Linked DNA regions of Caenorhabditis elegans. The protein of the gene in region 1 interacts with the protein of each later gene in a pairwise test. Each region holds a gene or a part of one and is shown in the gene's direction. Other genes may lie near its edges. The genes, in order: Y52E8A.2, cids-1, klf-1 and ceh-36.

Region 1 (3,237 bases):
TTTGGAAAACATTTCAAAACTAGGTCTCATACTGTTAGGTAGATAGATAGGCAGGCAAAAAGCAAAAAAAATCTGCCTACTTCCCTGACAACCTACGCCTGCCCGATGATGGGCTGTATATGTGCCTACTGCCGAGCAGCTGAACTTTCATTAACAGTCAAAATGAAATAATCTTCAGTCAGTGACATTGTGCTCACACTCAATTTAGATTAGGTGGTAGGCAGGCAGGCATAAAGGCGACCTACCATAAACTCACTCAATGTCTTCGCGAACGTCTCATGCTTCTTTCTCTCCGGAACATACACTGATTGTGGCAGAAATGCCGTGTTAATCGCCGCCAATAGAGAAATGGAACAACAGATATAGACGAATGTTTTGTACTGAAAATTGGCAGAATTAGAAACAGATGGATGTTGGAAATACAATACATCTCCAGATTCCAGAAATTCGTTCATTTTTTGATTGTAGAACAGAACGTAGAGAAATATTCCACCACCGAGGAGGCTTGAAAAATCAAAATGGTACAGAGAATTGATGGAAGTACTCACCAGAACTTAAAAATGAACCAAGTCAGAGCAATATTTCGTTCAATAGTTTCACTTGTGCAGTTTTCCGTCAGATATTTTCCCTGGCCAACCCATATGACTGAAAGTTTCAGAACATTTGCGAAGCCCTCCTGATTCATACTTACAAGCACCACCGACACCCAAACTCGCTGAAGTAATGTACACATAATAAGTATTCATATGTATAAATCCATATTGAAATGCAATATATGCCGAAAATCTCAGAACCATTCCCCATTTCGCGGAAATCTTATCAATTATTGGAGCAACAAATAGGCAAGAAAGTGTGAAAAAGAAGTAAGTTATAGCAAAACTAAAATCAGTTTTGCTTTTGAAAAAGTGACCATATAGAAGAGACAAACCTATGATAACCGGCGTGAGGATCAATATTCCCACCGGTTTTATGCTTTTCCTCGATAAGTGGTTCTTGTATGTATTCTTGACTCATATAAGCAAAAAATAGGAGCAAAAATGAAATCGATAGTCGGAGCACATTTTTCGTCCCTTGGTCAATAGCCATATCCGAAATCGGAAGCCTCTAGATTTTTATTCCTGTAAAAACTACAAATTTGAAACAAAGTTTCAAAAAAAAGAAACTTGAAAAAAAATAATTTATGACTTGGAAAAAATATCAAAGGTTTATGACAAAGACAAAAACTAGGCACTCTACTTTTTGTCATTTTTTATACTATCCAACAATATTATTCTTCTCCTTTTTCAGTCATCAGTGAAACTTTTTTCCGAATAATCCAGAAATTTGCATAATTCCCTTTAATTTGGAACGTTCAATTCGAGAAACTTGTTCAAAAACCGTCAATATGTATCGAAACGAGGAACTAACACAGCCAAGCATCAAGTAATTGTATTTTTACTATAAAAGTGTTTTTTTTGGAATTGTAAATAAACCTTTTTCAACATGTGGTTTCCTCTTAAAACCTCTTTTATTTTTAATTCTGTGCCTGGAAATTTCAAAGACGCGGCGGGATCTTGGCCCGATAAAACTTTGTGCGCCTTTAAAAATGGGTACGGTAGGATTTAATTTCCGCTTTGGCTTTTTCGTTCAGAAAGATGTCAATTAAATTCAAATTTTCCTTATTTTATTTGTTTTTTTTTTGGAAATAATATTGAAAAATATATAAATTATTCAACAAATTCGAAATTCTTAATTTTACCTCCATTTAAATTAATTAACTACTCAATCGTTGCGAAACCCGTGCAAGAATTATACCATGTCCCTTGAAGCGGTACGGTAGGCCCACGTTTTGTTTGCCACGCTGGATTTATCGATTTTTCGGATCTTTTCTGAATTGTGCAGCTTTCTCTGTGTGATTTTGTCGTTAACTGGTTTTAAAAATATTATTTTTCCCAGAATATATTAAGTTTTAGAGTTTATCGATTGGAAATCATGGTAAACACGTTGGAAGGCCTAGAATCGACGAGGAATTTGATTTTGAAGGAAAATCCAATGCGACGAGCCGCGGAACTTGTCGCCAGGTATTTTTAATTACGGCATTCAACTAAAATTTTAATTTGTATTTTTCAGACTATCGGCAGATGAAGTTACGATGCGTGCCGCGAAATACGAGCTGATCAAGTTCAATCGAGCATTCCAGAATTTCATGCTAGTGTTGGATGAGAATATTGAAGAGATTCTGATGTCAAACGACAATTCTACTCGAATTCAGCTCAAGAAGCTTCCGGAATTTCCATCCTTCTCGGATTCGTTTATGCAAGAATATGAAAAAGCTCTTCTGAATGGCGCAGAGAAGCTCAAAGCTTCAACCTCCAGCGAAAAAGGATCCATCCCGTCAGTCTCCTTTTCTTCATCAATTTCAAGCTCTAGCGCCGAGCTATCAGATGCTCGATGCCTTATCTGTCTGGACGACGTTATTTCGACTGAAAAAACTATCAAATGCAATTCGTGTAGACGTCGGTTTCATCTCGATGTAAGATTATTCATTTCAAAAACCTTTTCATAAATAAATTTCAAAATTTTCAGTGCGCTTCCCAATGGTTCAAGGAAAAGAGCGTTTGTCCAGCTTGTAATCGAGGGATGCTGGATCCAACGGAATTTCCATCTCTTTAATACCTCGTTTTAATTAATTTTTCAATAATTTCATGTGTAATTCGTTTTGCTTTTTAATAATTACAGTTGTAATAAAACTATAACATAGCTTTTGGAGTGGTTTCGACGTCGATCAGAATTTTTCGGGATGTCGACTGAACTTGACTTGCATAAATTCAATCGCCTTAAAAAACACAGAAATTCGAACTTTTCTTATTTTTTTTCGGACAAAAAATTGAGAAAAAACGAAAAATTAATTTTTACAAAAAAATTAAAAATAAAAAAAACTCGAACATTCTATGAATTTACAGCCAAAATCATGCCAGACGCAATTCTACCGGACAATGATGATGATTTGGAGATGAATGAAGAACAGGAAGAGCCTCCTAGCTCAGGAAACGTGAAAAATGAAGATTTTGAGGAAATTGAAGAAGCTGTCAAGGGCGAGGAAAAACTAAGTTTCAGATAAAGAAAAATCCGATGGAGAAGAAGGCGATGAATTCAAGTCATCAGATGACACCCCAAAGCCCATTCAAATCTCCGAAGACAACATGACAACTAAGAAATTCTCCCAGCTCGGCGTGTGCTCCTGGATCAACCAACAGC
Region 2 (3,691 bases), on another chromosome or scaffold:
TTCCAAAATTACAATTTTATAAAATACAGTATTTATGATTTTTGATCGACCATTACATAAAGAATAACCTGTCATATTATTTTTATTGCCAAAATAATTATTACTCAAGTTTTTCTAATCTCGGGAATATTTATATAATTAGAAGCTAAATGTTGCCAAAAGCTTGACCTACCAAAATAGATTGCAAATCGAGTCCTCGCATTTTGAGAACTTCCAAAGTTTGATTGTAGATGTTAACTTGAATATAAGTTGACATTTTTCAGTAAATACCAACTTGTCGAGTTGCAAAGCAGGAATGAATCAATGACACAGCTGGGCAGACCACAAAGTAAGAGACTCGAAACGCAGACGGTTCTAAGCAGCGCCGACTCACTCCTTCTTTTGCATTATATCTTGTGTCTCACTCGTGCGTTCTTGCCCTGTGTGTTTTCGCTCTCTGCATTTTTCTCTCTATTTTGTAGTTTGCGTTGGACGCCGAAATGTAGTCATGTTGTAGACTACAACATATAAGTGGAGGAATATTTATCAGATTACCGGGATGGTAAAACAATTTCAGAGGGGAAGAGGATACGAATAAGTTAAAATAAAATGAGATAGATACTGCAATAATTAATCCTCACGAAGTGGCAGGAACTTTACGACGACTGGCTTTCCGGCTTCAGCGATGACCAAGTGAATTTTGTCTCCAGTAGAGATTTCACGCTCAGCAGCACCACGGAACGAATCCTAGAAAAAATAAATGAATTAGGTTAAAATTACGAAATTCAATTATACCTTCATCAATGAGATGGCTCTGTCCAATGTGAGTTCCGGACGCTCATATCCTTCAGAGAGCGTAACGTGCCCGATTTGACAATCCAAGAATGGAATGATCATTGGTTCAGCGGCTCCACTGGCTGAGTATCCAAGACGCTCGATACATCCGATTGGGTCGTAACTGAACACGGCCCCTTTTCCGTGCTCGTCAATTCCGGCAAGAATAGCTCCAGTGTAGTATGGGAAGAACCGACGGTAATAGAGGTTGCGGGAGAGAAGTTCTGCGCAAAGATCCACAGACATGTCAGAGCGATAATCGAAGCGGTACTTGTGGAGACGAGATTGGAGAACTTTCTTCAATTGGAGGACATCTCCATAGAATCCAGAGGTGGTGAGGATGATGTTATCATTCCTGAATTAAGAATTATTATTAAAACAAAGACAAATACTGGCTTACAAAATTTGAATCTTCTCTGCGTCACGTGTAAGAATGTTGATGTCGTTTTGGGTCATTCTAGTATCACTTGCCACGATGGCAAAGTTCTCCCCAGAAATGGCACAGGTTGATCCTCCCTCCATTGAATACGGGTTCCAGCGTTGACGCTCAATTTGTCTGGAACTCATCCACTCTGGATGAGCTGCAACTTCCTTCATTGCCTGCTTGAACATTGCCATTTCATTGGTGGCGTTGGCGACAGCCGTGATTCCAGTGAAGCTTGTCATCTGAAAAAGGCGTATACTTATTTAGTTGAAACAATATAAATATTCAATATGACAAAATTCAATTAATACAGAAAACAAATGCTCGAAATTTGAGAATTCAACATAACAGGAAATGCTGACAATGAGAGACATCGTCATTTACAATGTTTAGTCCGCAGTTTTCTGCGCGTTCAAATGCACATCGCACATCGAACTATACGACACTTTGCTGAAATTTATTGAAACGCGTTTTCCTCTCTTTTTTGAATGAAAATTCATTTTTCCAAGGTATTTTTGAGGACAATTCATCGCTTTATCTACATTTCTGATTAAAATTTTTGTGATTTCTTTTTTTCAATAATTGATATTTCAGATGGCAGATTTCACAGAGCAAACTTTGCGACAGAAGTTAACAAATTTATCAAACCACCCTTCCTCAATTCAGACGACTTCTGCCTGGCTTTTGCAAAATCATAGCAATCGGGAATTGATCATTCGAGTTTGGCTAAAGGTATTTTATTCATATTGTATCATTTTTTAGTGTTGTATTTCAGACAGTAAAGAAAGAAACACACGGCTCAAAAATTGTAAATCTTCTTTATGTGGCGAATGATGTAAGCCAAAATGCGAGAAAGACTTGCCCACAATTCAAGGACGAATTTTTTCCCGCAATAGAAAGTTCTTTCAGGTATTGGCATTTTCAAACGTCTAATCTCAAAATTAATTTCAGGCATGCAATCGAGTTGAAAAATGCAAAAGAAGTGGAACATGCAATTGGTAAACTGATCAATGTATGGAAAGATCGTCAGATATTCACTCCATCACAATGCAAACGGCTTCATGAAGTTCATCAACAAGTTAAGCTATCTGGAAGCTTCCCAACACCCGCAGTTGCGAACAAGGAACATGGAAAGGTGTGTGAATTTAATAAATTCCAAAAGAATGCCAAAATGAGCTTAAGGTCGCTCAACCTAGTCAGTTCGTCGTTGAAGAAGCGAAAAAGAATGCACAAGATGTTTTGCTCAGTTTGAAGCGCCTTCAAAACCCGCCGAGCACGGAAAGAGAAATTCGCACAGAACTTTCAAAATATCCGGATAATATTTCGTGCCCAGAAAAGTTGCAGTCAGTTCGAAGTTCGCAAGAAGCACAGTCTCTGTTGGTCCAAAATGAAGAAGCTCTTCCGATGCTGGAGGAATATGTTAAAAGGTTTGATTGAAACTTTTGTGAATTGATTTTGTACATTAACTTATGCTTTCAGGCTGAAAAACGAGACAAATGAACGCGAAACTCTCGAATCGAACTTGAATATGCTTATAGAAAATGTTAGAATGAGCATTGAACATCACGAGAAATTGTGCAGAGAAGTTAAGCGTAGAGAAGATCGAATCAAGGCAGATTTGTTAGAGGTTTGAAAACTAGAAAATCAGTTTTTGCAGACTTGAATTGAATTTCAGGTTGAAAAAACATTCGAATCGTTGCCAGATTTGGCTGCTGAGATGCCAAATGCACCATTGCCAACACTTGAAGCTTTGTTCGAGAAGAGGAAAAAATAAGTATCATACTACGTCATAATTATAACTTTACGATCTCAGTAGCTTTTACTGTACCCCCATTGTTGTATAATTTTTGTTCACTTTGATCTTTTACAATCGTGATCACCATTACCACATAAGTGCTTTATACGTTTTTCTTCTGAACCACCTTAAATGAATTTATTTTTTCTAAAATTCAAGTTAGTTCTATTATCTGAAAACGGTTCTTAACCAGTGTTTATCTCTGAAAGTTTGAAATTAATTGTTTAAAAGCTGATATTTTACAGATGGGTATTCTGGAGAAAATTGCAGAAATCGAACATGAAATTTCAAGAACCCAAAAGAATAAAGCCACTGAATACCATTTGGGTCTTCTAAAAGCAAAGTTGGCAAAATATCGTCAACAATTGTTAGAACCAACAGGCAAAGGAGGTGCCAAAGGAGAAGGATTCGATGTAATGAAAAGTGGAGATGCGAGAGTTGCAATGGTTGGATTTCCTTCCGTCGGAAAATCGACTCTATTGTCCTCAATGACTTCCACTCACTCAGAAGCTGCTGGATATGAATTCACAACTCTTACGTGCATTCCTGGTGTCATCTCTTACAACGGAGCCAATATTCAATTGCTCGATCTTCCTGGAATCATTGAAGGAGCTTCTCAGGGAAAAGGAAGAGGAAGACAGGTTATCTCAGTTGCAAAA
Region 3 (7,673 bases), on another chromosome or scaffold:
AACTATTATTTTTTAAATTTTCAAGTTTCGACACATTTTTAGTCTGTAAACAATGTGTAAAAAACCGAAAAAAAAAACGTCGACCACAGTGGGGGTCGAACCCCGGTGTTGAGATTACCAATCACCAGTGTTATCCACTAAGCCAAAAATTCAATGTTTCAAATGTTTTTCAAAATGATTCAAAAATAGCTGATATGGTTGTCAAATTAACGGAAATTTTATTGGGAACTCGAATTTTTATATGAAAATTCCGGAAAATCACTAGTTTTTATTTTCACAAATTTTATTTTAACAAATCCCGCCGAAATTTAGTGTAACTATCGATTAATTTGGAAGATTGTTCTTATATAGTTCAGTTCCTTTTTCATTTCTCTCTCTTCTTTTTTCATCTTTTTCTTGTTTCTTCTGTGCGTCTCAAACTAACTGTCACATCACATTTACAATCGACGTGTAGTTAGTTCTGTCTCATTAATACTTCTAGTTTTTTCAACTATTTTCACTTTCTATTCTCACTCTGTAAAATCGATTCGTTTTTGCTGAAAATTGTTTTTTTTTAATTTTGAAAATTTCAAAGTAAAAAATTAAAAAAAAACCAAATTTCAGTCCGCTACGGTTTGAACTAAATGTTGTTAATAAAAATCTCTGACATACCAAAAAAAAATTGGAAAAAAGTTTTGACCCCAGCGGGGGTTCGAACCCCGGTGTTGTGAGTCCCACCCATCCGTGTTAACCACAAGGCCAAAAATTTAATTTTTTTGAAAAAATCGATATGGGTCTCAAATTGACGGAAATTTCGTGGAAAACCCGAATTTTTATGTAAATATTTCTGAAAATCGATATTTTTCGGGAAATGAACTAAAATCTCGATTTTTTTTTGTGAATTTTCATTTTCAAAGTCAAAGCGTCTACCATGTCAATTTTCAAAGCATAAACAATGCAAACAAAACTCGACAAAAATTTTGACCCCATCGGGGATTCGAGCCCCGGCCTTGTGAGTCCCAGCCAACTCTGTTAGCCACTAGGCCAAAAACTCGAAATTGTTTTTTTCCAATTTTGCAAAAACGAAAAATGATAGATTTTTATTGATTTTTAGAGATTTTTCAAGAAATTCCTCTGATTTTCTAATCAAAAATCATAAATGTCACATGACACGTTCTCCTGTTCCCGTTCTCAGCTGACAATTCATTTTCCCTACCATTTTTTTTTCGGCCGATTCTGTGTATCTCTGCGTTTCTGTCTATTTCTTCATTTTCTTATTCCTTTATCAAGTTTTTTGTTTCGGTTTTTATCTTTTTTTTTTGTTTCGGCTGTGTGTTGAGGAGGCGATGCATTACCCTCGAAAATGTAAAAGACTACGCCTTTTTTGGAAATTTTTGTTGGGGTTTTTAGGGAAAAATCACTTTAAAAAATTTTTTTCATAGATTGAAAACCAAACTTAAAATCGAAATCTTCAAAAATGAGCAAAAGATCGAAAAGCAAAAAATTGAAATTTTTTTCAAAATTTTTTTTTTCAAATTTTTTCAAAAAATAATTATTTCAAAATTTTCTCAAATTTAGATTTTCTTATGTACTTTTTCACAATTTACCCATTTCCCCTCTAAAAAATCTATAAAAATATCGATTTTTGCAGATGTTTGGGCCGGAAGGCTCCGGGTCACTCAGCTCCTCATCAAGTACACTACAATTCAATTCCACGTCATCCACGATGACGTCATCATCGATAAATGCCACGTCATCACGGGAACCATTAATACACATTCCTAATAAACCATCATTATCAATTGATCCATTGGCGCGGGCGGATAGATCAGTACATTTGTCACCGTCTTTTTTTCAACCAGGTGAGAGATGTTTTTTTATTTAATACCATCACTGAAAATATGTTTTCCTGATAGAATAAATTTTGTTGTGTTTGCCATAGAAAAAATTAAGTGAAAATCTTAATTTTTCGCTGAGTTATCGAATTTCGAAAAATTACAAAAAATTTTCAATAAAAATGTGTCCCACCACGAAAACTATGACTTTCTAGCCCGAAATTTAAAAATAATCAGATTTAAAATTTCACGAGCTTTCAGAAAAGTATAATCATGGCTATGTTTCGAAAATTTCGAAATTTCCCCGGGAGTACTGTAGTTTTCGTGGTGGGACCTAAAATTGACGGAGCCTAGGCATGATGGGTGTCATTTGAAAGTTCTCAGTGTGCTAAGTTCAAATTTAACAGTTTTGAAGTTTCAAGTTCAAGCTGTGCCTTAAAAGTTTTGATTTTTTGAAATTTTTCGAAATTTTTCGAAAATCGATAACTCTGCGAGTTTTTAAGATATTTGAACTATTCCAATTTCAAAATGTGCAGAAAACGTTGAATTTTTTTGCAAAAATATAACCAAAAATCTTCAAATTTTCAGGCCTCTCCTCAATTTCATCTGAAAACGACGATGCTGAACAGCGGATACATGAAGCAACAAGAAGCTTTAATCAATTCGGACATCAATTTTACGAATCAATTCGGGAACTTTCCGAGAGCACAAGTGCCTACGAAAGGCTGAAGGCCAACGCGTTGAGGAGGAAGCTAGAAAATGTTCGTTTTTTTTTGAGATACAGCTATCTTGGTTATATTATGTTAGGCCTATGCACCTTTAAACTTTGATTTTCGTGGCGGGACCCGGAAATTAAATTTTTTTAAGACTCCCTCTCAAAACCTAGTCATGATTATACTTAAATGAAAGCTCTCACCCAGCTGAATTTGATTTTCATATTTTCAAGGTCCCACAACGAAAAACCACCAAAATTTCAAAGCTACAGTAGTCACATGTCCTTTAACCCTCTTATCTCTCAGTCTCTTTGTCACTCTCAATTTTCCCGCCTTTTTGGGTGTGGTTACCGTCTTTTCTTGATGTCGGCGGCGGCGACCGTCTTGTTTCGCAAGAAAAAGAAAAATGAGAGTGAGAGAGTGAGAGAGTACGCAGAGAAAGAGAGTAGGGAGAACATTGGGCGTTGGCGCCTCTCTTTCTATCTACCGAAACACATACATAAAGTGAGAGAGAGAGAGAGAGTGATTGATAAGATTGAGAGAGCGCTGAGAAAATAGAGAAAATCTAGACCGGATTGTTCATCTTCCTACGAAAGACTAATTAATCGATATTAGAATGGAACAGATTTCACAAAAAAAACTTTTATTAACCGCAAAATTTCGAAAAAAGACCAAGAAATAGATAAACATAAGCCTAAGCCTAAGCCTAAGCCTAAGGCTGAGGTTAAGCCTAATCCTAGGCTAAAGCGTATGCATAAGCCAAAGCCTAAGTGTAAGCTTAAGCAGGAGCTTAAGTCTCAGCCTAAGTCTAAACCGAAGCCTAAGCCTAAGCCGAAGCCTAAGCCTAAGCCGAAGTTGACTCCAAAGCCTAAGCCTAAGCCTGAGCTCAAGCCTAAGCATAAAAATCAGATTTAAATATGGAAAAATTGAAAAATCCTTTAAAAATGTGTTTTTTTTGCAGACATTTGGAAATGATAGCGGAGCAGCAACAAGTTCAAGTTCTTCATCGGTTTTCGAAAGACAATCGGACTTTTCTGCATTTGCACCATATAAAAATTCACATTTTGACTCAACTCAGAGCCTTTTCCAACCGACAACTTCATTTAATGACCGTCTGGAACAGATCAAAAGTGATTTTATTGCAGAGCATCAGAGTGGGTTTTATTTTTGATTGAAAAATCTGAATTCAGCGTTTTGAGAGCTTTAATTTAAGTATAATCATGCCAAGGTTTGAAAATTTTGAAAATTTCTTGGGTCTTGCCACGAAAAAGATCTGGGGTACTGTAGGTACAGTTTCCAGGCTGCGAAAAGTATTTTTGTCTGAAAGAACAATTTCTGTTGTGTTTGTCAAACAAAAAATCTTATGTAAATCTCAATTTTTCGCTGAGTTATCGATTTTCGAAAATTGTCGAAAATTTGCCCACAATTTTGGGTGCCACCACGAAAACTATCAGTATTTCTCACAAGTTTTCAAACTATTCGAATTGTAAATTTTACGTGCTTTCAGAAAAATATATATAATCATGACTAGGTTTGGAAAATTTTGGGTCCCACCACGAAAATTCCCCGGGAGTACTGTAGTTTTCGTGGTTGGACCTAAAATTGACGCAGCCTAGGCATGATGGGTGTCATTTGAAAGCTCTCAACGTGCTGAGTTCGAATTTAATTGTTTTGAAGTTTTAAGTTCAATCTCTGCGTTAAAATTTAAAGGTTTTCGATTTTAAATTTTTCGAAATTTTTCGAAAATCGATAACTCTGCCAGTTTTCAAGATATCGGAACCATTCCCATTTCAAAATGTGCAGAAGAAATCATATTCTTCTGCAAAAATTAAAAACTCAACTAAATTTATCACCTAAAAAAAAGAAAACGCCTAAAGAAAATTTCTTATCAGGGACACCCCTGCAAAACACCCTCCGAATTTGTAAAAATTGTCATATATTTTTCAGAGTCAATGTCGTCATTTTCCGGATTCAACACACCGACGACAGCTCTCGGAGCAGCTTTTCAGGGCATGCAAGTCAAGAAAAGTTTGTGATTTTTTTTCAATTTTCAATTTTTTAAACTTTCTAACTAATTTTTTTTTGAAAATTATAGAAAAAATTGAATTTGTCGTGCAAAGAGCTTTTGAATAACACCCATCATGACTAGGTTCCAGTGAGTTTAAATTTTAAAGCACCTATGTGCCTTTAAATTTTGATTTTCGTGGCGGGACCCGGAAGTGCAGGCTTAGAGGTCACTGACAAATATTTCATCTGTTCATTTAAAATTTTATTAGCATTCACGATGCCTAAAACTTTATATTGATCTTCAATTTTCAACTTGTTGGGTCCCGGCACGAAAATCTAAATTTAAAGGCGCATAGGGTTTGAAAATTTCAAACTTAACCTAACCTAGCCAAGATGGGTGTTATTTTGAAGCTCTCAGTGTGCTGAATTCATATTTTTAGTTTAAAGTGTATTGTATGACAAGAAATGAGAGATACTGTAGTTTTTGTGGTGGGACCCGGAAATTTATTGAAAAGTTCAAAATCGTCAGAACCTAGTCATGATTATACTTAAATGAAAGCTCTTGGCTAGCTTGATTCAAATTTTCAAAGTAAAAATCATTTTCAGGTGCGTTCGCTCCAGTCCTGCTTCGAGAAAATCTGGATACCCGGCGCCCCGGGGGCCATTTGATTTCCGACATTCTGAATCGAGACCCGCTTCCACAATCTCGAAATCTTAACCTGAATATGGCTAGAAATGTCCCAATTCGGCTGATTCATTCGACTTCAAATTTCGATATCGCTTCCTCGAGCTCCGGAGATTCAGGCCATCAGGATCATGAGAGTATTGTTGTGGAGGATGCTGACATGGATAGTCCGACAAGTCCGTGTGTCAAAAGATCCGCAATGAATTTTGATTTAAGAGGTAAGGTTTTGAAATTGCGGAAAATTTTTTTTTTAATTCTGGAAAAAAAATTTTCCACAAAATTTTTTTTCAAAATTTTTTCTTCAAAATTAAAAAAAGTCGTCAAACTTCACAATTTAACTATTCTCGGCTCGTCAAGATCCTTCAAATGACACCGATCTTGCCTTGGCCCCGCCCACTTTGGGTCTCACCGCGAGAACCAGAATTTAAAGGCGCATAGGGTTAAAAATTTAAAAATATGCCGAACCTAGGCATGATGGGTGTTATTTTGAAGCTCTTGATGAGTTGAGAGCGATAAAAACAAAATTAAGGTAAAAAATATTTTTTTAGTTCAAAAATAATTTTTCGAAAAATAACCTTTTTTCGCGTTCATCACATCAAGAGCTTTCGAATGACCCCCATGATGTCTAGGCTCTGCCCATTTTGGGTCCCACCACGAAAACTACAGTACTCCTGGGGAATTTTCGTGGTGGGACCCAACATGGGGAGAACCTAGCATGATGGGGGTCACTTGAAAGGTCTTAACAAGCTGACTACAATAAAATATCCAAAACTTGAAAACAAGATAATTATAATACCAATTTTGTGCTGAAAAAAATTTTCTCCAAAATATTTTTTTTCAAAATATTTTTTTGAAAAATCAAAACTTCAAATGTTTTTTAATTTTTAGACGAACCTCTCACAGTGAACGTAGAAAGTGTGTCATCAACATCAGACCTTCCCAGCTCAGTATCCAGCTCTGTGAACTCCTTCGTCTACCAAAACTTTGACCCCTTGGAGTTTAAGCGAAAAATAGACGAACTGACGGCTTCAGCGTGTCTAGCTGTAATGCCAGACGCAAATGGTCAAGTCGATCCGATGGCCATCAAAACTCAGTTGGATGCTATCAAAAAACAAATGGAAGAGCATCAAACCCACATGGCAGAAGCCTCGCAAAGACTCCACGTGGACTCTTCCCTCGAGGATTCAAATTGCGAGCCGAGCCCGAGCTCATCATATGATGCTTCTGAACCATCTGTCAAGAGGCTTCACCATTGCACACATCCGAATTGCGGGAAAGTCTACACGAAAAGCTCACATTTGAAGGCTCATTTTAGAACTCATACAGGTAATACTTTGTTAATTGTACTGAACAAAATATTTTCTAGATTGAAAAAGCAATCATTACACCCAGAAAAAACCAAAAACATGCAGAAAGAATCGAACTTGGGACCTTCTGGGTCTCAGTCATCTCTCTTACCTATTGCGCCACCAGCGCCGTCGCGCCCAGCAACTGGCGCGGCACGCAGTGCGCGCGTGGCGCAGTCGGTAAGATGTCAGACTATGACCCAGAAGGTCACAGGTTCGATTCTTTGTCGAAGGATATAGGTTTTTCTGGATGAAAAGTTTGAAAATTTCAGTTTTAAATCTTGATAACTTCTCTTTAAAGTTGTTTTTAGAAATTTTTTGATGAAAAAAATCATTTTTCAGGTGAAAAACCATACGAATGCAGTTGGGACGGGTGTGATTGGCGATTTGCTAGATCTGACGAGCTAACAAGGCACTATAGGAAACATACAGGTAATTTTTGAGTGAATTAAAGGCGCATACACCTAAAAATTTTCAAATTTTCCCAAACCTAGTCATGATTATACTTAAATGAAAGCTCTCGTCGAGCTCTATTTAAATTATGCACTGCAATGCTAAGAAAAACAAAAATAATTGTTTTTTTCAGGAGACCGCCCATTCAAGTGCTCTCAATGTTCACGTGCCTTCTCCCGAAGTGATCATCTCTCACTCCATATGAAACGCCACTTCTAATCAAAAAAAACATGGTGCAACAGATTAACTAATTACGGGTTCCCAAAATGTATTTCTCAACTTTTTATCCGGTCATTACATTTTTTTTGGAAAATTTTTGAAAAAAGTTTTTTTTTTCAAAAATTTTCAAACTTCCCGCCAGTCACGTCTCAACATCGTGACGTCATTTTTACAGTTTTTTGAATGTTTTCTTGCTCAAAAAATGCTTGGTATCATCACTAAATACGGTCATATTAATTTTTGTCACATTTCACTTTCCCCCCCCCCCCCCACGTGGAAATCAATAAATACATATCGATTTTTTTTTCTGTGTTTTTTTTTTTGATTTTTCAGAGATTAGTAATTTGAAAAAAAACCAAATTGGAAAGGTTTTGAGCCTTTCAAAATTATTCAAAAATAATTTTTGGAAAAAATTTTTTGAAATTTTTTTTTTGAA
Region 4 (5,756 bases), on another chromosome or scaffold:
AGCTATAGAGCCGCGAACGTGTTACCATACTTATGGCGCACCCTGTACAAAATAAATTAGTAGGTTTCCGATTTTACCCAAATTCGACCAAGATTGGCCGTACCTGACCAATTAACAAAAACGTCAGCAACACAATTTTTCGACTAAAATTAATTAGTTTTCTGTACCAATGAAATATTGAATTGTCTACAACTATTTATTAATCTATTTCATGAATTCATCAAAAACCTCATTTTCTAAGTACCTTTTTGGAATCACCGTAATGTGTTACACAATCCACTTCAGTTTCCTCCACCGCAAAGGGCATTCCTTTGCTCCACTTCGGAGAGCATCTTGTGCTCATCATTCACATAACAACTCAAAAAAAACCATCTGCTTCAAGACAAAGACCTAGGATTATGGTATTCGCAGACAGTTTACTAGCAACATGTCAGTTTTTATTGTTCAGCAGGACAAGTTATTTATAGTTATGCCGACATGGATATTCATGTGAGGGAAGTGAGATGAAACAATGGACTGTCGATCAATATTCTTGACACGAATATCCTAGGCAGGTTGGTGTTCTCACCTTTGGGGAATGTAAGGTGGGAAATGATATTTAGAATTTATGGATGTGATTGAGAACATCAACGGGCAAATTAATGAAATTCGGTAATAGCTGAAGTGTTGTATTTTAGAATAAGTTAATCTTCCGGTGAATTGACTTTTTAAAACTTTTTTGAACGTTTTTTTCCAAAATAAACTACTGACTTCCTAGAAAATTAATTTTTCCCCAACGTTTCTTTTCACCGTTTCTTTAAACCTATACTTAACTCGTAATTGTTTCTAATGTTACCTGATTATTTGCACTGTTTCCCATTCTCAAAAAATTGAGCTTTTTCTAACTATCACCAGTTAGCCATTAGTTTTTTTTGTTAATTAAAAAATTATATTTTATACAACATAAGTATGAGTGAGCAAAAATCAAACTAATTTTTGAACCCATATATTGGCGCCATTGTGATTAACATTGTCAGATTACACTTACGGATCAAGGATAAGCTTATCCGATAAGGCTGAGCCTGAGCTCCTTCAGATTATAGTATAATGCTAAGTTCTTGTTGCTATGTTTGCAAGCTGAGCAATATCCGTTTTATTCAAAGAATTGGATTCCTTTTTTTGTTACTTTGAAATTTTAAAATGTAAAAATAAACATACAAGTTTTTTACCGTAATTGAAAAATTGTAGCAGATACGTTAAATTACCTTATTTTTTCTATGTCATGAAATTTAATGATATCTTCTATTTGACTTGAAGGGATGCAAGTCTAATTATCTAGTGTGTTTTTTTGAAGTAACAATTTGATTTTTCACCATTATTTTATAAATATATTCTTCTTCTATTGGTGCTTAGGACGTTTTTAAACTTCACAAAATGAAGAATTTGCCTAAATTTCGAAAGTGAACTGGTCTAATAATAAATAGCTGCAGGTCAATTAAACTTATAAAACCTGCATGTATACTTTTTGATGGGCTTGTAGTGGTGCTATACTAATATAGTTAATACGGTAGCTTTAACGGTTATGTTAAATGCGGTTGGCAAATAATGATTATTAAGAACTTTGTTTCACATTTTTATCAAATTTGAGTAAAATGGGTAGCACGTTAAAAACAAAAGCGAGAACATTTCTTGAATGTTCTTTCAAATTCATTCTAACGTATCCGTGTCTTTAAAACAAACAGTCACCCACACTGTATTTGTCTTGAAACGTTCCCACAAACGCGGCCTCCTTTTTCTTGCTCATGTTCTAGTGCGTGTTCTCACTCACTTTCTCACTAGTGGGGTTCCTTTGGTGGAAGACTCCACCCACAGTAGGAGATGTGGACCACCAGATGGTTTGAGGAACTGTGCAACACGTTGTTGTTGTGTTCGTAGATAGGTTACAATTTGTATCGAGGTGTGTAATTTCAGGCATTATTTTGTTGTTATTAATTTTATAAACACGTTTCTGAGTGAGTTTTTTTCTTGAAACCGTATTTGTATACTCGTATTATTAAATTCAAAAAATTTTACCATGCATTTGGAAAAACGTTTCTCATTGTTGCTTATTGATAGTAATTTATAAATTCTGGTTATTGAAAAATTCTCCGTCGACACTATGTATTTTTAAAAGAGCATAACATGAGTCATACGTGGTTTTCACATTTGTGCAATTTTTACAATCTCCAATTTAACCTTAAAAGAACAAACACTTAAAAATTGAAAGCATTTAATACCATTTAATAGAAGCTCACCTTCTAGAGAAGTGACTATACACATTCCCTTCTGTATGTTCCAAACAATTATTTTTCAAACTTGTACTCATTGTTCTTTCAACCACAATCCCTTCATCCACTTTCTAATAATCTTCTCCTGTGCATTGGCTATACGTGTCCCCTGGAAGAAGCCTTAGAACCACCCCACTTGCTAATTATCTCTCGAAATATATATATTTCTCTTCTACCGTAACCCTCTTTGCAAGGCTTCATTCACTTTTTCTGATTTTCATCAGCCTACACGTCATCAGAAAAAAGTTTAATAGGAAAGCACAACACTGAACCCAATGATAACTTAATGATAATGCTTGCCCTTTTCTAGGAACTCGTAACCGAGAAGAGGAATCAGTTGCTCAATTCTCGGTAGAAGAAAAAAGAGATTAATAAAATCTGTGGGATTACCTATAACTTTCTTTTGTCTCGGCTCACATGAGCTTTGAAGAATGAAAAGCTGACAAAATCCATTAGCATCTTCCCTTTCAATTCAATAGCTTTTCACTAGTTATTCAATCGTTACCCCCTGACAAGCAAGGCTTCTTCTCATCGGTGTCATCTTCTTCCAGACTCACCGCCACCCTCCGCCCATTTGCGGATCCGTCGAGCACTTCGCCTGCCCCCGCATGCACAATGACCACCAACTTCTACACCGCCTTTCCGACGCTCGGCTACACTGCTTATCCACAATTTGCATTTGCTGCCGCAACCACGGCACCCAGTCTTACATCGGCAACCACAAGCTCAACGACAATGGCGCCAATGGCTCCAAACAGGTAGTTAATCAGGGGGATCAAAAAATAAAATTGTAAACAACAAAATCGTGGCAGATCAAGATTAGGGTGGATTTTGAGATTACGCTAAGTCTTGGAAAGGTTATCAGAGACTAATACATGCCTAAATACCGACTGGCATTCCAAATCAGTCGACATTGCTAAAAGCTGGCTCCTCTGCCAGCTTCTTACTCCAATTCTGGTCATTTTTTAAACGATTTCTCCCAATATCGATACAACATGATATTTTAGTTAACTATTGATTTGAATTTGTGCTCCCTTTTTTAAATGCAACTAATTTTCAAGAGTTTTATTTCTGATTTGAACAGTTCACAGAATTTTAAGACACATTTCAAATTAAAAATAGAATTAGAATAAGAATTGTGAAATTAAAATCTTTAACGATTTTTTTAAGTGAAAGCGGTCGTCGAGCAGGTCGGCGTGAACGTACCTCGTTCAACAGAGGACAACTCGATCAGCTGGAAAAAGTTTTCCGCGAAACACAGTATCCGGATGTGCACAGAAGAGAAGCATTGGCGAAGGCAATCAATTTGCCTGATGGAAGGGTACAAGTAATTACGGTAAGTTGGATATAGACGCTGAAAACGTAAAATGTGTTCTATAACTATTTGGAAACATAATTGTTATACATAAATGACAACAGATTTCAAATTTTGTATAATGATACGTGCTACCAACCCAATATTTTTCTACTAGATTCCCATTCAATTTCAGGTTTGGTTCAAAAATCGACGAGCCAAGGATAGAAACAACAAAAAAATGGATGGAGTCCATCCGGGAAGCACTTCATCAAGGTAAGACACACATCAACCTTTCCGATTTCTCCAATTATTCGATAATGTTCAGATCATCCAATGGTTCTCCACACAACGAATCAAAGCCTGATACTAAATCACTAGGAATTCACATACCAGGCACACCGGAATTCAATGCACACAGTGCTGCCAAATATGAGGTGAGAATTTCCAAATAATGTATGCTGTGTTGGGGGTTACGGGATGTTATGGGAGGAAGTTGCATGATTTCACACTTTTACAGGCAAACTCAGCAGTCTTGAGTCAACTGCAACAGCAGCAACAGCAGCAATTGCAACAGCCAAAAAGTGAACTGGAGGACTCGAAACCACTTGCAGATACCAAATACGATTCCACTCAATCACTTCTTCCTCAGGCTCAAGCTGCAGGTTAGTAGGGTTCAGTCTATTGTGAGACAAATGTCTGGAAATAAGACGCTACATTTAATAGTAGAAACTAACAGTAAGAGAAATAGAAAATGTGCTTACATTTGTTATTAGGAGAAAGTCATTTTTATCAACAATCAATACTATTTTAATTTTTGTATCCATGAGGCATTATTTAAATTTGCTTTAACTAAAAAAAATTTTAAAGCTGAACATATATTCTGTTCCGTAGTTTCAACTAATCCAACTCAGTTCCAAGTCAACATGACTGCTCTCTAAAAAAATTTTCTAGCACTGTAGTTTATTCCTAAAACTCCAGATGCCATCAATTTCAGCAAAATATGTTCTGTTTTAACAACGATTTCTTAGTTTTATTAGTCTATCAATGTTTTTATTACTGTGGAAATTGGCTCATAGTATTGGCTCAATTGTAGGTGAGAAAAATGTTTTCACTGGAAAAGGTCAATTGACATATAAATGAGATGGAAGTTAATGTAGGAGAATATTAGTTCGAATTACAGACAATAAATACACAACTTCTTAAATGTCACTTTCCAAAAAACCATTTTATTTCAAAAAAAAAACATTTAACTAGACTTCACAAATAATTTTCAGCATATGCATCCTACGCAACTACTGCTCCTTACCCGTACAACTACAACAGCTACTTCCCATCAAACTTTTACTACCAACAATATGGAAGCAACGATTACACCCCAAATATTACTGCCTACTCTCCACTTTAAGTTTTGAATATTCCCTTTTGATTTTTAATTCAAATTCCTATCAACTTGGGTACCACACTATAACTTCTCTCATCTTCTTGTCATAATTTTCTTGAATTTCTCCAAGTATCACTTGATCTCAGAAAAATCTTACAATGCATATGATATTTTGTTTTTTTTTCTGTTGTACCACTGAAATACTTTGTCAGTTTAAAGTTTTGTATGAGTAATGAATTTTGGATAGAATTGTTTCAAATTTTACAATATTTTACAAGTAAACTCCCAACACAGCATCTAAAGTGCCCTCAGGAAACGATATTTGCTCATTTTGGTAGTCGGCAAGCGGAAAGGATTTTAGGGCAAAAGGTGGCGTAATCCCCTTGAGAGACACCCACTTCATTACGTGGAACACCTTTCTCTAACACCTTCCGCCCGTATTGTGTGCTTGAAGTGACTCCTCAGCGAATGCCACGTCATCTCACTTGTCGGAAAGTGCGTTTCAGAACTAATGGTTACATACGCCTAAATTCCTTGCAAATAGTAGACTTTAAAATTTTTAGTTTCTGGTAAAAACTTATTCCATTAGCAATATAATAGTGTCAAAAGATATTGAAAACTTTCAAATTTTCCGAATTTTTTTTTCGTGAAAAATAAAAGCAATTTCAATTAATGCGCTCACTAATCCAATTGAAAATATAAAGGATGCTTTCATTATCAGTCATACGACCGGATTACTGTAACCTTTTATTATTGATAATCTCATTTTCTT

What was found.
Region 2: the proteins of Y52E8A.2 (region 1) and cids-1 interact in a two-hybrid assay, tested with the Caenorhabditis elegans proteins (one large-scale study listed by BioGRID).
Region 3: the proteins of Y52E8A.2 (region 1) and klf-1 interact in a two-hybrid assay, tested with the Caenorhabditis elegans proteins (one large-scale study listed by BioGRID).
Region 4: the proteins of Y52E8A.2 (region 1) and ceh-36 interact in a two-hybrid assay, tested with the Caenorhabditis elegans proteins (one large-scale study listed by BioGRID).

What each region holds. Positions count from the first base shown.
Region 1 is NC_003280.10:4,318,884-4,322,120, forward strand, and holds Y52E8A.2 (RING-type domain-containing protein), read left to right. Parts: upstream 1-1,952; 5' UTR 1,953-1,971; coding exon 1,972-2,060; intron 2,061-2,109; coding exon 2,110-2,512; intron 2,513-2,565; coding exon 2,566-2,652; 3' UTR 2,653-2,734; downstream 2,735-3,237. Other genes in the region: Y52E8A.6 (UNC93-like protein MFSD11), read right to left, coding at 257-380, 429-504, 549-645, 692-879, 929-1,086; Y52E8A.1 (RNA helicase), read left to right, coding at 3,183-3,237.
Region 2 is NC_003281.10:8,242,614-8,246,304, forward strand, and holds cids-1 (CID domain-containing protein 1), read left to right. Parts: upstream 1-1,831; coding exon 1,832-1,969; intron 1,970-2,012; coding exon 2,013-2,146; intron 2,147-2,188; coding exon 2,189-2,372; intron 2,373-2,419; coding exon 2,420-2,664; intron 2,665-2,716; coding exon 2,717-2,864; intron 2,865-2,912; coding exon 2,913-3,011; 3' UTR 3,012-3,181; downstream 3,182-3,691. Other genes in the region: Putative zinc finger protein C02F5.12, read right to left, coding at 173-256; pbs-6 (Proteasome subunit beta type-1), read right to left, coding at 610-726, 775-1,168, 1,214-1,479; putative GTP-binding protein C02F5.3, read left to right, coding at 3,278-3,691.
Region 3 is NC_003281.10:2,873,188-2,880,860, forward strand, and holds klf-1 (Kruppel-like factor 1), read left to right. Parts: upstream 1-1,630; 5' UTR 1,631-1,705; coding exon 1,706-1,841; intron 1,842-2,402; coding exon 2,403-2,575; intron 2,576-3,488; coding exon 3,489-3,681; intron 3,682-4,474; coding exon 4,475-4,555; intron 4,556-5,140; coding exon 5,141-5,437; intron 5,438-6,107; coding exon 6,108-6,545; intron 6,546-6,727; exon of another isoform or gene 6,728-6,801; intron 6,802-6,907; coding exon 6,908-6,997; intron 6,998-7,144; exon of another isoform or gene 7,145-7,151; coding exon 7,152-7,237; 3' UTR 7,238-7,489; downstream 7,490-7,673. UniProt on the Caenorhabditis elegans protein: Transcription factor which modulates genes involved in lipid metabolism and the phase I detoxification pathway, including cytochrome P450 oxidases.
Region 4 is NC_003284.9:14,182,701-14,188,456, reverse strand, and holds ceh-36 (Homeobox protein ceh-36), read left to right. Parts: upstream 1-1,890; 5' UTR 1,891-1,991; intron 1,992-2,857; 5' UTR 2,858-2,921; coding exon 2,922-3,064; intron 3,065-3,476; coding exon 3,477-3,642; intron 3,643-3,796; coding exon 3,797-3,876; intron 3,877-3,928; coding exon 3,929-4,037; intron 4,038-4,120; coding exon 4,121-4,265; intron 4,266-4,877; coding exon 4,878-5,008; 3' UTR 5,009-5,236; downstream 5,237-5,756. UniProt on the Caenorhabditis elegans protein: Probable transcription factor, acting as a progenitor identity factor regulating the development of lineally-related embryonic cells including glial, excretory and neuronal cells. Mediates chemosensory function of ASE and AWC neurons.